Daphnia pulex: one gene and its partner. The protein of the gene in region 2 purifies or fractionates together with the protein of the main gene of each other region. This does not show direct contact. Links are inferred from orthologs where the notes say so. Each region holds a gene or a part of one and is shown on either strand. Other genes may lie near its edges.

Region 1 (3,595 bases), on a different chromosome or scaffold from region 2:
TTTAATATTCAACTTTCGCTCTCAGGGATCTTTATGGCCTCTGACCTTTGGGCTTGCCTGCTGTGCTGTAGAAATGATGCACATTGCAGCTCCGCGATATGACATGGATCGGTATGGTGTGGTATTTCGTGCTTCTCCGCGTCAGGCTGATGTCATAATTGTAGCTGGTACACTTACCAACAAAATGGCTCCTGCTTTACGTAAAGTTTACGATCAGATGCCCGAACCTCGTTGGGTAACCGGAACACTTTCTCACAGATATTAGGCATCATGAATTTATTTATTTATCTCCAGGTAATTTCTATGGGAAGCTGCGCTAATGGTGGTGGCTACTACCATTATTCGTATTCTGTTGTGCGTGGTTGCGACAGGATTATCCCAGTTGACATCTACGTCCCTGGCTGCCCTCCTACTGCCGAAGCGCTGATGTACGGCATCCTTCAGTTACAGAAAAAAGTAAAACGGATGAAGACTATTCAGATGTGGTACAGAAAATAAGCAAATGTGTCATAAGCTTCTGAAATTGTAAAGTTGTATCAACAAGAGTGGTGGAAATAAACCTAGAGGTTATATTAGAAACACATGTATTGGTTCAACCACTTATTAGAAAACTAAACGTTTCGCTAATGAACCTCCCTCCCCGTTGTCCGTCACTTTACGTTTTGTTCCGCTTTTGTCGACTGCTGCTTGACTTAGAGATGCAGGTAGAGGTAGAGATGATCCTGGAGCTGGAGCTGGTTTATTGCTGTTAAGGAAGAAACTTAGAATTTTATATCTAAAAATTAATCAAAATACATACCTGAAATACGGCATTTGCAAAGCTTCGCTACAAGTACACCTGTCTAAAGGATGCAATGCCAAAAAACGACTCAAAAGCTGCAGCAAATCATCTCCGGCGGCGGTGAAAATATGCCGCATTGGAATCACGGGGAAAGCCTTAAACTGAACAAAATCTGGTAGCGAAAGCAGTCCCTAATCAAGGAAATATGACTAGAGTTTAAAGGTGGGAGACGGTTGAGTTCAAAATTGTTTTATGTACTTACTGGCCAATTCTCTTCGTTTGGAGTGCCCAAAGTTGTAAAAATACGTGTAAGTTGATCTAAGTCAGATTCTCCAGGTAAAAAGGGGAGTCGAAGCAAAAGTTCAGCCATTATGCAACCTACTGCCCATACATCAACACCGGTACCGTACATTCGAGCACCAAACAACAGTTCTGGACACCTAGTTTCAGGTGTGATCAATTTTAATTTCAGCTGAATATTTATGTTGCATTTCTTCAAATTACCTATACCACCTCGTCACAACCTGGTGAGTGTAGATACGAGTGGGTGATGCAAACGATTTTGCCAAACCAAAATCACCAAGTTTCAGTATTCCTTGACGATCAACAAGAAGATTGTTAGGTTTCAGATCCTAAAATGGTAGTTGAAAAAAAAAGAATGTGCATACTTCTGTCATAATGTACAGGGGAAAAATATATATTATTATTATTACTCTGTGAAGAATAAATAGAAGATGGAGATATTCAAGTCCTTGAAGTGTCATAAGAATGTAAGCTTTAATGTGTGCTGGAGTGAGAATGATGGTTGTGTCCTTGATTATTTGCTCCAAATCAGTATCCATAAAGTCAAACACCAGAGATACATTAGAACGGTGACCAAAGACATCAAGTAAACCAATTATATGGTCATGCTTGAGTTCTTGGAGTAACTTGATTTCTCTCAAAGCTGTTCGATTGATTCCATCTCTAGCCTCTTCTCGTGAACCCAGTTTAATCTTGAACAGAAATAGTGTTAGTATTTTATAAACGAACCGGAAACGCTGAAATGAAAACACATTTTTTAAACCTTTTTAACGGCAACTATTTTGTTATCGTTTAGAGTATCTTTCGCCTTGTAGACTGTCGCAAACTAAATTACAAAATAAAACAGTTGAACATACACAAAAGACAGTGCCAATCAAAACCTTACCTGTCCTTCTCCCAAAAATTCAATCTTTTCATATCGCTGAAGTCTAGGTTCTCTTTCTCCACTCACGTGCATTTTTCATTCATACACTCAAAGTTTCTTTCAACTTTTAATCACCCGTCAAGAACGATTATTTTAAAATGGAATTTCACTCGTCAACAGGTGGCGTGAAAAACTATTGTTTATCTTTCTATTACCACCGCTAGATCGATCTGTTCTACAAAATGTTTCGGATTTTGACATCTCAAACCTGCTTCAGTTCTATTTCACATGTGCTTTATCACTAAAAATCTGAAACTTCTAAAATTCACGGCGAATAAAATGGGAATTGCAGATACGTAGTAAAAATGCCGAGTAATAAAAAAGGTTCTGAAAATGATGAACCCCAAATATAGACAGGCTGACCATGGTGAGTTCGAGTTGACTCCTAGAAAAATTCCCTCGCAGAATGTTGTAATTCGACTGATTCGTCGAGAGACTCATGTCAAACCCGGAAACTATCACATTTGCCGATCATTTTATCAAAGTGTTGTCCCAAATTTTACAATTGTCAACATAGAAAAGCCACCATGCTATTTGAGAAAATTTACACCCAACGGCAAGTACTTTATTGCATTCTCTTCAGATCAAACTTCAGTGGAAGTTTACAAATATCTTGGACCAAGTGCAGTAGAAGATTTACTTACAGATGTTCCAGGAACGAGAGAGTTTGTTGGAAATGATACCAATGAAGCTGTAAATTTAAGAAGTAAAGTATTTTCTAAATTCTTCCAGTTAAAGCATACTATTGCTGTAACTCCTGTTGGTGAACAACTAAATCGCGAATGCAGTCTCTTTGTCGGTGACGGAAGATTTGTTATTGTCGGTTCAGCCTCGTACGTTCCCGAAGAGCCCCAGCCAAATTTTTTTGATATTTTCCGTAATAATGAATCCGTATCTCCTCATCCTCGTTCTCCACTAGAAGATTGCTCACTTCACATCGTTGACATCGTCAATGGAAGGCTCTGTGATACTAGAACAATGAAGACCGACAAAATCTTTCTCTCACACAACCAAGGACTTTACTTGTATGAAGACACTCTAGCAGTTCTCTCTGTCCAGCATCAAACGATACACATTTTTAAAATTTCACACGATGGCTATTTTGCTGATGTAAAAACTATAGGTCGATTTTGTTTCGACGATGACGAATGGTTAATCAATCAAGTACGGGGACTTTGGCCTTCGGGTCAGTTGGTTCGTCCGTTTCGAGAGGCAACTGTCAACGCGCTCAAGCATCGTTTACTAGTGTTTCTCTACCGACGAGCAATCAACATGGCTGAAGCCGAAGGGAATCTCTTTCACGTACGAAAGTTCTATCAGAACTTTGATCACATTCGCGCACTCCGAATCTGGAAAATGCAGTTGTTGGATGAGTCACATTTGCTTCTGAAATATGCTAGTGAAGATGTGGTTACACTACGAGCTCCAGACCCAAATACGCAACCGGCCTTCTTTGTCGTTTACAATATGGAAAACGCACAGGTATCTTGATTATAATTAAAAGAAAAAAACTTAATCCCACGTATTATTGTTTTACAGGTTATTAACGTCTATGAAAACACAAGTCAGGAACTACTGAACTTGTT
Region 2 (2,849 bases):
TCTACTTCATTTCTCCATATGGACATGGGTATGATAGATTCCACTCGTGATTCAACTAGATTTCACAGAATGTATTGGCTAATCTTTTCCTAAATAGGCTTAAACCCCTTGATACGCAATTTATGAAAATGCTGCATCACAAAGTCAACATCGTGCCTGTAATCGCTAAAGCAGATATGCTAACAAAGAAAGAAATTGCTCGGTTGAAGAAAAGGGTAAAATTGTGACCAACATTTAGATTTATTATAAACTTGTTTAACTAAAAAATTATTAGGTCATGGAAGAAATTGAGGCAAACGGAATTCGTATTTACCCACTTCCCGATTGCGATTCGGATGAAGACGAAGACTACAAAGAGCAAGTTCGTCAGCTTAAAGACGCAGTGTATGTAATAATTCATTCAGACTAATAACAATTATAATTCATTCATAATAATAATAATAATATAATTCATTTATTCAGACCTTTTGCTGTATGTGGGGCCAATACGTTGATTGAAGTTAAGGGCCGAAAGGTCCGCGGACGGCAGTATCCATGGGGTGTCGTTGAAGTTGAAAATCCTGAACACTGCGATTTCATTAAACTCCGAACGATGCTGATGTAACTTGTTTGACTCGTCAAAGATCGAAAATCTTGCATTGCACTAACGTTTAATTCTTTCATTATTTAGTCAACAGCTACAAGATTTACAGGAAGTAACACAAGATGTTCACTATGAGAACTACCGATCAGAACGTCTTGCTAAAGGTGTAGCTTCGAATCGAAAAACCGCTGGGCCAACTAATTCCACCGCGCCATCGGCTGCTCCGGAGCAGATTAGTGAGAAAGAAAAAATACTTCAGGTTAGTAACTATTGTGTTATTAATAGACAATGGAAATAGTGTTTCGACCGTTTGCATCATTGTTTTGTTCTCACAGGAAAAAGAGGCGGAGCTACGACGTATGCAACAGATGTTGGCTCAAATGCAAGCACAAATGCAACAACAACAACCTCAATAGCACTGTGCGTCGTCTTTAACAGCAATTTTCAGTTGTCACTTAAACCAAAAGGAATTCTTCTCTACTGTTTTGACTGTTTATTCAGCTTTGATTGCTGTTTCAACACCCTTGGCACTCTTACCTTCCAATGTGAAGATCTTAGGTTTCCTCGATAAAATCCCATTCAAGTGCCAACATTTAACAAATTCGCTGTGCTTCATTATTTGGTCACTTCACTAGTAATTTTCCTCATTTGCGTACATTCGAATTTTTCTTCCATGTAGGGCAATTAAAGCCCAGATGCGCCTCGAATATCCTACCCAATCATTTTCTTTTTAGTGTCTCGGACTCTCGGTACTGGTCGCAGTATTTCAATATACAATTTTTTCAGACTCTTGCTTCCTTTTTCCCATTAAAAGATTTAATTTTTCTTAGTTTTCTTGAAGTGAAACCAAACCTTTATGAATGGAAGTCTTGTAAATTTTTATATAATGCGCCAACAAACTCCTTTCCCGCTCAATTTAAGACGCCACCTACCGACGCCAATCAAAAGCTGGAAGTGCTGAAAGAAGATGCCAAAAATCCAAAATGGTGATCAGACGATCAGTTACTTACTTACTTTTTACCAATGGGGCAAGATGGTAAACGTAACTAAAGGAATTCTGGTAATAATTTACGGTAAAACTTATAAATGCCACTTGATTTATTATATCTTTGTATTTGAAGTATGGTATTTTAACTTACTTCAATCACTAGTGAAATTGACTGTGCTGGTAAAAGTTTCTTGTCAGAAAGAAAGCACAAAATATTCGATCGGACTATCCCGTGGAAATAGTCATAGATTTAGAAATTAATAAGTATCTCAGGTGGCAACTTATAATGGTTTACCTTTTCTTTACATGGTGCTTAATTGTTAAATTTATACTTGAATTTGTATTATTACCCAAAGGTTGAATGTGATGCTGCTATGAAACAATTGCTTCTTCATTTAGACGAGACACATGCTCTAGGCAACAAATTCATAGTTCAAGATTTGGATGAAACTCACGTTTTCATTGTAAAATTTAAAAAATACTTCTATTTTCTCATATTTTGTATTTTTATCTTTTTGACATTTTCTCTGTTAGGCACCTGAATATCTGGAAGTTTTGCAGTCTAGAATTGATGATTTGATGGACAGGATCAGTTTTCCTTTGGCAGAAAGAGAAATCGAGTAAATTATCTATCATCATGAATTCATCTCAGAGAGAGTCAGCCCGTCAGAAGGATGCCAATTCCAGAAGGGTTTTGGATGAGGCAGCTCGTAGGAGAAGAGCAAGGAAAGCATTGGAAGCACTTGAGCAAGATAATTTTCATGATGACCCTCATGCCAATTTAGGTATTTTTGTAAGTTGGCTAGTTTTCAGATCTTTCATTAATTCTGGATATTTATGCAGTACTAAGCAAAAAGATCCCCAAGTTTGAAGAGTCTCTTGATGGTAAACAAACAAGAAGAAGGAAATCTAAAAATTTCGAAATTTTCAAACAACGGTATTTTGTTTAATATTAATTGCTGAAACGAAGTGTAATTCTATTGAAGTAATTTCTCCTCTTTTACAGGTTTCGAAAATCCTTTGCACAGCTGTTGGAGGAAGAACAGGTTAATCGCCCAGAGCCCCCAAATTATGTTTCAGCTCAAGTTCCACCATCTAAGTTTCCCGAACGTCATTTTTGTGCTGTTTGTGGATTTACTTGTAGTTACACCTGTTTATCTTGTGGCGCAAGGTACTGTAGCGTCAAATGCTTAGGTACTCATCAAGACACGCGTTGCTTGAAGTGGACCGCCTAATAATATTCCATTGCTTTCTTACTTGTCATCTCATCAATAAACC

What was found. Proteins that work in one complex are often made in the same cells at the same time.
Region 1: the proteins of general transcription factor IIH subunit 5-like (region 2) and cyclin-dependent kinase 7-like purify together in Homo sapiens (affinity purification with mass spectrometry; 7 studies listed by BioGRID and IntAct, with this or other methods). This does not show direct contact. The link is inferred for Daphnia pulex from reciprocal best matches to the Homo sapiens genes GTF2H5 and CDK7.

The regions. Positions count from the first base shown.
Region 1 is NC_060020.1:946,349-949,943, reverse strand, and holds cyclin-dependent kinase 7-like, read right to left. Parts: upstream 2,117-3,595; 5' UTR 2,043-2,116; coding exon 1,971-2,042; intron 1,911-1,970; coding exon 1,848-1,910; intron 1,777-1,847; coding exon 1,495-1,776; intron 1,414-1,494; coding exon 1,286-1,413; intron 1,222-1,285; coding exon 1,044-1,221; intron 973-1,043; coding exon 800-972; intron 746-799; coding exon 604-745; 3' UTR 568-603; downstream 1-567. Other genes in the region: NADH-quinone oxidoreductase subunit B 2-like, read left to right, coding at 26-235, 295-498; DET1 homolog, read left to right, coding at 2,343-3,491, 3,549-3,595. UniProt on the Homo sapiens protein: Serine/threonine kinase involved in cell cycle control and in RNA polymerase II-mediated RNA transcription. Cyclin-dependent kinases (CDKs) are activated by the binding to a cyclin and mediate the progression through the cell cycle.
Region 2 is NC_060021.1:7,407,710-7,410,558, forward strand, and holds general transcription factor IIH subunit 5-like, read left to right. Parts: upstream 1-1,541; 5' UTR 1,542-1,550; coding exon 1,551-1,643; intron 1,644-1,927; coding exon 1,928-2,035; intron 2,036-2,105; coding exon 2,106-2,195; 3' UTR 2,196-2,223; downstream 2,224-2,849. Other genes in the region: septin-1-like, read left to right, coding at 1-28, 98-215, 275-384, 463-600, 671-842, 2,224-2,356, 2,415-2,508, 2,578-2,806. UniProt on the Homo sapiens protein: Component of the general transcription and DNA repair factor IIH (TFIIH) core complex, which is involved in general and transcription-coupled nucleotide excision repair (NER) of damaged DNA and, when complexed to CAK, in RNA transcription by RNA polymerase II.